Linked DNA regions of Oryzias latipes. Each later gene encodes a partner of the first gene's protein in a complex. Links are inferred from orthologs where the notes say so. Each region holds a gene or a part of one and is shown on either strand. Other genes may lie near its edges.

Evidence for each region.
Region 2: the proteins of gpaa1 (region 1) and pigu are in contact, whole or in part, in a cryo-EM structure (PDB 8IMX), measured with the Homo sapiens proteins. The link is inferred for Oryzias latipes from reciprocal best matches to the Homo sapiens genes GPAA1 and PIGU. Residues at the interface, in NP_003792.1 of Homo sapiens: Gln245, Leu310, Arg311, Arg313, Phe358, Leu359, Ile371, Ala389, Leu390, Trp393, His397, Leu500, Ile504, Leu508, Cys512, Leu515, Thr516; in NP_536724.1 of Homo sapiens: Tyr349, Ile355, Phe356, Cys360, Ile363, Val364, Leu367, Leu368, Val371, Leu372, Leu375, Ile377, Tyr378, Ala379, Gly380, Ser381, Phe386.

The regions. Positions count from the first base shown.
Region 1 is NC_019875.2:26,756,985-26,761,580, reverse strand, and holds the start of gpaa1 (glycosylphosphatidylinositol anchor attachment 1 protein), read left to right. Parts: upstream 1-1,749; 5' UTR 1,750-1,873; intron 1,874-3,068; 5' UTR 3,069-3,099; coding exon 3,100-3,173; intron 3,174-3,253; coding exon 3,254-3,433; intron 3,434-3,528; coding exon 3,529-3,640; intron 3,641-3,755; coding exon 3,756-3,903; intron 3,904-4,403; coding exon 4,404-4,505; intron 4,506-4,596. Other genes in the region: exosc4 (exosome complex component RRP41), read left to right, coding at 329-535, 621-977. UniProt on the Homo sapiens protein: Component of the glycosylphosphatidylinositol-anchor (GPI-anchor) transamidase (GPI-T) complex that catalyzes the formation of the linkage between a proprotein and a GPI-anchor and participates in GPI anchored protein biosynthesis. Binds GPI-anchor.
Region 2 is NC_019863.2:32,754,776-32,759,133, forward strand, and holds the start of pigu (phosphatidylinositol glycan anchor biosynthesis class U protein), read right to left. Parts: upstream 3,083-4,358; 5' UTR 3,037-3,082; coding exon 2,907-3,036; intron 1,587-2,906; coding exon 1,522-1,586; intron 1,418-1,521; coding exon 1,358-1,417; intron 1,284-1,357; coding exon 1,221-1,283; intron 1,155-1,220; coding exon 1,045-1,154; intron 966-1,044; coding exon 865-965; intron 797-864; coding exon 699-796; intron 619-698; coding exon 464-618; intron 380-463; coding exon 236-379; intron 150-235; coding exon 25-149; intron 1-24. Other genes in the region: psmf1 (proteasome inhibitor PI31 subunit), read left to right, coding at 3,909-4,037. UniProt on the Homo sapiens protein: Component of the glycosylphosphatidylinositol-anchor (GPI-anchor) transamidase (GPI-T) complex that catalyzes the formation of the linkage between a proprotein and a GPI-anchor and participates in GPI anchored protein biosynthesis.

The DNA.
Region 1 (4,596 bases):
CCATGTTTGACTGTTTGTGCAATGTTTTACACTAGAGTGATGCGAGGCACATCACCCAAAATGTTTCACGGTTATCTTTTCTGTCCTGAAAGTCTTTCCTAAATCTTGTAGAACATCGATATTTCTGATGGAAAACCTGAGATGTTGTTTTTGCTCATCTGTGCCGTTGACCTCAAACTCTCCCATGTCTGGCGTTTTTATTGTCTGGTTTACCTCTGATGATGGATTAAAAAGCTGTTTTACTCAAAGGACAGATGTATGCCGCCCTGTGAAAAATGTCAGACCTTTTTTATGGTTCTCCTATGCTTACTTCCTGTTTCCCATTCAGATTCGAGGTGCTCGTAGTCGGGCTCTTCATGACAGAGCCATTATCAACTGCCAGTACAGCATGGCCACCTTCAGCACGGCGGAGAGGAAGAGGAGACCGCACGGAGACCGCAAGTCCACAGAAATGAGCCTTCACCTCAAGCAAACGTTTGAAGCTGCCGTGCTGACCCAGCTCTACCCACGCTCCCAGATAGACATCTATGTCAAGGTTGGCCTTAGATTTATAGTATACTGCGCTCTACTTCATAGCATCTGTTTTCGTCATTGTTTTAAGAACGTTTTCATCATTCAAGATTCTTCAGTCCGACGGGGGGAACTACAGCGTTTGTGTGAACGCCGCCACACTGGCAGTGATCGACGCAGGGATACCGATGAGGGACTATGTGTGCGCCTGCACAGTGGGCTTCGTGGATGAAACCTCTCTTGCCGATCTTTGCTACGCAGAGGAGAGCGGAGGAGTGAGCTCTCTGGCTTTGGCGCTTCTGCCCCGCGGAGGGCAGATCGCTCTGGTCCAGATGGATGCCAGACTGCATCAGGATCACCTCGACACTCTGATTGAGGCGGCAATGACCGCTTGTAAAGGTGTGAGCAAAGTCCTGGACCAGGTGGTCAGGCAACATCTCCAAGAAGGTTCTACGCTCAGAGAATAATGGTGAAGGAAAGAGTAAACAAATGGTTTCCTGGGATCAACACTTATTTTGTCGTCATTCTTAACATTTTATTAAGTATATTTGTGCATAAAGAATAAATGTGAATGTATATCGTTTCTTTGTATTTGCATTTGTTTTATTAGCTGAAAACTGACCTGTTTTTGATGCAAAAATCAATGTGATCAACTGAAACAGCAACATCAGCATTTTATATATAAACAGATAATAAAGCTTTGTTTTCAGACTGATACAATAAGAACCTTTATTTTAAACCACACATCCGTAAGAGTAAACAATTTGTGAAAAATTAGATAATTCTTATATCCAATTTATTTAGCTGTGTTGATATCTTACAAATTTTCACCAAAACAATACTTTTTATTCCTGAATGAAATGCTCTGTTCATGTGTTTAGTCTTTTTTTTTTAGATTAATTTTCTTTGATTTGTTTTGCAGACAGGCTATTCTGCTTTTGCTTTTGTTTGTTGTAAAAGTAATTTTTATGTCACAATACAATACATGTTTTGTAAGAGTTTCAGTCCGTTGAGGCTGAATAATCTATCATTTTCTTTACCTGCTGAAACAAAATTGGTATTAATGTAACTTACTTTTTAAAGTAACTTTTCTTACATAAATCTTTATTAGAATTATTGCATATTAAAGTACATTTTCACTGATTATTACAAAAAGATGCGTGACTAAGTTTAAATAATCACATTTTACACCACCTCTGGAATATTTTGATAAATAGAGATGTATTTCATTTTTGACCGGATATGCATTTTTCAGACCGGAAGTTGGTCCACAGAATTAACGTTCCCGCGGGAACAAGGAAACAAAATACTTCAGCAGCCCTGGTGTGGAAGCGTCGCCTCTGCAAGTGTGACTAGGTTTGAGGTACATTTTTTTACGTCTTAAATATATCACATTTATAAACAACGTTTACACTTTTGACGGATGGTATATATTTTTAAATACTAACGATGCTGTTCTGTCGAAGCTAGCAGCATTAAGCTAACCATCATTCATGAAGTTGAATGAAACGACGAGAGTCAGAAGACATTATGTTAATATTTGTAGTTATAATTATTTTTATCACGACCACACCAGCTAAAAAAAAGTCTAAATGATTCTAAAACGGTTGTATTTTTCTCTGCGTGGTGGTACAAGCTCATGGATTCGTCCAAAAATCAGTGCAGGAGTTAGTGAGAGTGAATCCCAACATGCTCCTCTGTCTAAAGTAGCTTTCTTCAATGTCTGGTTCCGAGCTAAAAGTGACGTCTAATGAAATATGACTGAAGGGCTGTTTCTCCTATAGGAAAAAACAGTAATAGTTAAGTTAGAAATCATCATCATAAAGTCATATCAGATTTCAGATTAAGACCACAACTAAATAATATCTACATAATCAATCAAATATTGAGATTCGGAGATCCCATGTCCAGATTTTAGAGTTTTCATTTCGTGCAGGCTGGATGACTGAAACATGCTCCTCTTGAAAAATAAGTAAAGACAACAAAGCTGCAGCTCATTCAGAACTTTGCTGTCAGAGCCAGGAGAACCGACCACATCACTGCGGTTCTCAGGTTTTTATGCTGGCTAAAAGTCAGAAAAAGGAATGGATTTCGATTTATAGCCTCTGCTACTGCCTAACTATGTAGCCACAGAGGCAGCCCAACGGGTCCCCCTGTCACTGTCCCTAGCCTGGTTAAATATAGGTTGTGTCGCGTAAAAATCCGCCCAAACCACCTCTGTGAAAACAGCACAAGCTGTTTTGCTGTGGCGACCCTTGAAGAAATTTGCTGAAAGGTGAACAAAACTGTATGTATAGCCACTTAAACACCTATCAGATCTATTTATTGTCAAATACGCAATAATTGTTAACATGTGGCACAGATGAAATGAATATAATTTGGGATTTTAACTTATTATTTTGATTCTTGAATCTTCCCTGTATTATCAAAGCTCTTGCATTTCTTGAAACCCTTTGAACGGCCTTTGTGTTCATCATTTGAGAGCTCTTCATTTGCATTATCAAGGTCTGGAGGTCTGTCTGTTAGTGGTCTGTACCTTTTCTGCCTTCTGGTTCCAGTAGATCCACATATCCAGGATAACGAGACGACATGGGGCTGCTGTCTGACCCCAATAGAAGGCAGGCTTTGATCAAACTGCTGACCCGCCTCAATGCTCCAATCTGGTGAGTTGTGTTATTTTTCCATTGCTCCTCTCATACTGAGTGTTAGAATGTTTTAAATTCTCCACGCCTGTCCTCGTCAGCTTCGTCTGCTACTTTGCGGGTGTTGCTTGGTTCATGGGTCTGGCGTTTGAGCCGTTCACCCTGCGGACCTACATGTCAGAGAACGCCATGGGATCCACCATGGTGGAGGAGCGCTTCCCTGCAGGCGAGAGAGCGCTGGCTACAGGCCGAGAGTTTGCTGCTCACAAGAAGAAAGTCGGGTAAAATGATTGTATCAATACAGAAATGAGTTTTTTTCCCCCTACAAAATCTCCCCTTAAGCTTAACTAAGCTGTTCCTCTTGGCTTCTCGTCAGTGGGATGCCGGTGGACTGGCTGGTGAAAACCATGCAGGCTCGAGGGCTGGAGGTTTTCACGCAGAGCTTCTCTCGCACGCTGCCTTTTCCCGATGAAAACACTGAAAGATACGTACGTTTCTGTTGAATTTATGTTTAAATCTTCCAGTTTGGTTGTGTTTTTAGTGTTCAGATGACAACATACCCATTTTCTGAGTATATATGTCTTTTTTTTTTCTTCCTTGCAGGTTGTAAAAGGTACAAATGTTTATGGGATTCTCCGAGCACCTCGAGCTCCGCGGACCGAAGCGCTGGTGCTCAGTGCTCCCTGCACTCCAGGTGATAACAACAACCAGGCTGTGGGACTGCTGCTCGGTTTGGCCCATTACTTCCGGAGTGAGTACTTCATCGACACAGATCAGACGAAAGAGTCGCTCTTTTTTGTCTAAATCAGTGTTTTTCAACCTTTTTGAGCCAAGGCACACTTTATTCTGGACAAAAATCCCGCAGCACACCAGCATCCAAAAATGAAAAAAGGAGAAACATATATAGATGTACAGTCCCTCTGCAATCTCGCATGCATTTTTGTGATATGTGTGGCAGAAAAAGCTGGAAGTTGCTGCTGTTTTTTTCTAAAAGATGTAATAAAAGTTAAGTTAGCTTTCAGTAATAATTTTCAACTAAATTATTTGACATTTTTCCCTGGTAGTTGTTTTTTCCTCCAGTCTATTAACATGCAATTTTATGTAACCTAACATAAAACCTATCCTGGAGATGGTAAATGTTTTTAGATGAGTGAATGGGTAATTTCCCACGGCACACTGGTTGAAAAACTCTGGTCTAAATGACCTCCATCTGAGATGAAACTTCTCAATAATTTCTCCTCTTTCTAACAGATCAGGTTTACTGGGCCAAAGATATCATCTTTCTGGTGAATGAGCATGATCTGATTGGGATGCAGGCCTGGCTGGAGGGATACCATCACACCAATGTCACAGGTGAGCGCTATCTATAAAGTAACTTCAGTAGTGCTTTCATGACGCTCAGGATGCCTTACAGGCCCCAAATGCAACACAAAAATAGAAAATT
Region 2 (4,358 bases), on another chromosome or scaffold:
CCAGAACCTGGAGCACACACTCACAGCGGTGCAGGTGACTCCAGAGCGGGAGGAAGGCCATGTAGAGGGCGACGTCCCCCACGGTGGGGTAGGATTTAAAGATGGAGATCACGGCTAGCTGCATGAAGATCAGGAACACGGGATGCTCCCTGCAGCAGAAGCATGAAGGCAGGCAGACACGCTGAAGAACCGGAGCAGAGAAAAGCTCTGCAGCGACCGCATCAGACCCACTTACTTGAGTTTGATGGACAGAGGGATGGTATAGAAGAAGACGTTGATCTGGAAGACGCAGAGGAAGAAGAGGCGGAAATGTTCAAACATTTCGGCAAAGAAATACCAGAAGAGGCCGATGTTGGGGGTCAGGTCAGGAACGGAGAGGCTGCAGGGAAACCAGCAGGAAACATCCATCACACGGGGGAGAAACCATCTCTAAAACCCTTCACTCCTCCTCATCCTCACTCACATGAAGCCGTAGACGGACGGCATGTAGTCCCAGGAGCCCAGCAGGAAGAAGGACAGGCAGACCAGGACGAACAGGCTGCCCAGGTACATGAAGAGGTATTGAACCACAAACCACCAGAAGCTGACGCGCCGGAGGTTGACCGGGATGTACTGACGCTGCAGGAGCAGACGCAGGGAGACGGGAGTCAGAGACCAGGAGAGCGCCGGGACGCTCCCGTCACTGGGAGGAGACGCACCTGCATCAGGTAGAGCATTGCAGGAGCGCACAGGGTCAGAGGGTAGACGGACTGATAGGTGGCCAGACACAGGAAGATGGCGCTCAGCAGCACGTTTCCTGAAACGCAGAGAAGGTCAGAGGTCCAGGCGCCAAACAAGGGGTCCAGCCGGAGTCTGAGGGCCGACCTTTGACCGTGCAGAGGATGAAGAGAGAGATGACCATGTTGTTCAGGCCGCAGGTGGACTTGGCGACGCAGGACAAGATGGTGAACGGGTTCAGCAGGTAACTGCGGGAGAAGAAGAGCTGAAGCTTCTGCTGGTTCCGCCCAGAGAGCGGAGGGGGGCGGAGCTCTGAGGAGGACTCACAACATGGCCACTTTCAGGGGGACGTAGTGCATCTCTAAGGGGGTCCTGATGAGCTCCAGACAGTCCGGGGGGTAGCGGTCCGCCTCCAACGCAAACTTCTGTTTTCTGAACTGTAAAAACACGACAGAGTCTGGGTGAGAGCAGATCTACGTGCAGAGGTTCTGCAGCTTTCTCACCACTTGTTTGTTGTAATCCTTGGCTGCTGCGTACAGCGCCGCGGCCGTCACCACGTCTGCCAGCTGAGGACACAAAGCAGAGCTCCACACATCCGCCACAAACCTCCTGACGTCCAGAACCTCCTTTAGGGACTCACCATGAAGGTGATCTCTGCATAATCCACCAGGAAGTGGAAGAGGTAGATGATGAGCGGAGTCTGCGGACAAACACATGTGGTGAGGTCCGGCCTGAGCGTCCGCCGTTTCCCACGTTCAGGTCGGACGAAGGTGTCACCTTCAGGTGTTTTGGTTTGTGACTCACCTCGTGGAAAACATCTCCAGAGTACGGAGACACTCCCAGGTCAAGCAGAGCCAGACCCTCGATCACTGCAACACAACCACACCACAACAGAGTCCTCAGTCTGAGGCGGTAGGTTCATGATCAGGAAGATTCATCAGAAAAGGATCCAAACCTCAGAACCCACAAAACATTTAGACTATTGTCTGTTTGAGCAGCAGGCTCCGCCTCCAACCTCCTGAACGGTTGACGTCCCCGTCCTTTTGTAAAGTCAGACCGCATCCACAGCACACTAGGAATGCTACCCTCTCTGCCTGCTAAATACGTCCCGTTGGCTGCTGTGACTGAATATTATGGTCTGTTTTCTGCCGTGCTGAGTTCACAGATCAGATTTGGTTAAATGTTCCACATTTCCTCTCGTCGTGAATCAGGGAAAACCTGTTTAGAGCTGCAGAGATGCATCAGAAAAACGAAGCGTTCTGGTGGCATTTTTCTGATGATGGGGACAAATATGAAGAAAATGAAGCTTCAAGTTGCATTTCTGAGTTTTTCTTTATTCAAATCGTTGTGAATGAGGAGCAGACGAAACTATGCCGTTTGAAAAACATCCTATTTGTGATGTCGACAAAAAATATCCTGGGCGGGGCCACAAACTCCCAGCTCCGCCCCTTTCTGATGCATCCACCTGCAGACAGGTAGAGAGACCCATGAACGTCTTTGTCTTCCTGCAATCTGGATCAGAACTGAGCGGCTGGACAGCTGCGCTAATGTTAGCGGGAGAGCGTGGAAACAGAGAGCTCTCAGCAAAGGGGAGGGCAAGGGGGGCGGGGTTGCTCCATGCCAACAGGCAACTCAGAGGAGAGGTGGATTTCTACTGAACTCCAGCTGCTCTGCAGAAACTATGTCCTAGAAAAAGACAGGATTTTGGGCTAAAAACGGCATCATCATCAGAAACAAACGACCGGGAACAATCTGACAACAGATCAGATGATCAGGAACATGGATGAACCCAAACATGTTCTTCATCCATCAGAACCTGCAGGACAACCCAACAGCTCCTCTGCAGAACCTCCTGTCGTTACTTTGACTGAAGTCACTTTCAGTTAATGAAGGCGTTACAGCTCTGACAGTGTCATATTCAAATGTAATAGATTACTTGTACGAGTAACAATCGATGATAATAATCAGAGATGAGTTCCTTCAGTTCGGGGTTTTTTTGGGGACCAAAAATCGGATCAGAGTCCGAGTCTGACACCGTTTCACCTTCGTCGACCATTCTCCAAACATTTACAGATTTCTTTTGTGACAGATTTTGTCGCCGAACCGGTTTACCGGCGCAGCGGGGAGGCGCGCGGGTGCGAGGCGTGTGTGACCGGTGCGCTCCGGACCCCCGCCGGCGGCCCGCTCACCTCTTTTCCAGGCAGTAATCGGTGACACCACCTCCACCCTCTCTGAAATCAGCTCCGCCAAACTGGACCGGAATAGAACGGCACGGACCGTCACGGCGACAATCATTAGGAGCGTCAAGGGAGCCGCCATCTTCGCGAGGAAGCTCTCTCGCCCTGCGCTCGAGGTGCATGCTGGGAAGTCAAGTTTATTCCGTCTCGTCAGGAAAACATTTACCTCCAACCTCCACAGATTTACAGTCCAAGCAGCGATAAGGAGCGAGTTTAATAATAATAATAATAATAATAATAATAATAATAATAATAATAATAATAATAATAATAAAGGAACATATTTACAAAAAGACTATTTAAAACGCATAATTCAAGCAATTAAAATCAAGATTAGAATTTTGTTTTAATCAAATATTGTATTTAATTTTATGTGTAAAGGTAAATAAACACATTTTAAACAACTTGAAAAGGAGTTTAATCTCAACAGAGGAGTTTTCATATGATCTTGTTGTTAGTTCTAATTTTGCATATGCTGAATATACATAAAGACGCTGTAATTTTAAACAATAATATAGCACATATTACAGGCGTTTTTCTTTAATCACCCCGGAATGCGGAATGTTTTGTCATTTGCGTGTTTTCAGTCGAAAGATTTATGTGACGGATCAAAACAAAACTGCAACTCGCCGTCTAGTTGGAATAAACTATTTTACTGTTTCCGGGGGCGTATTTAAAAATAAAATAAAATTAACGCTTTTGTGGGCCTGTGTTAGCGTCACGTTGAAGTAGATTATCGTTGTTCGTTTTAAAAATATCTGATTACTAAATTGTGACTGTATCACGTCTACAATACTATTTTAGCGTGTCGTATGTGTTTTCTGCAATCCTCTAAAAGCCACGTGCTTTTACTTTGAAAATCCCTGCAGGAAGTCGCTGTGGTTGTTATGGAAGCGACGACTCTGCGATTTTTGTTTTCTGTTCTTGTTCTGTGCTGTTGGTTTGTGAGACAACATGGCAGGCTTGGAGGTGTTGTACACCTGCGTCACAGGTAGCCTGACTTGTCCTCAGGACGCCCTCGTGTGTTTCGTTCACTGGGAAATGATCAAGGGAGGATACCGGTGCATCGGTTCCGGAGACGAGGTGGGTCGAACTAGCTAACTTAAGCAGAACCAGAAGAGACAAACCAACAACACATTCTGGTTTTATTTAAACACATTTAAGATACGAGACGAACCAAGTTAATGCTGTTTGTTTACTTTTAGATCGTAGTTTGTTGACAGCCTCTGAAGTCCCTCTGAGTTACAGTTTTGATTTAAACTCTCAGTCTGTGGGAATAAATGTTAGCTTTGCTACATTAGCAGGAGGATCAGGATGGAAACTGAAACTGTCCTGCAGGCGATTCAGAGGAAACCTCCGCTGAGTTGGTTCTTCTTCCTCCATCTAGGTGACCTTTGACCTCCT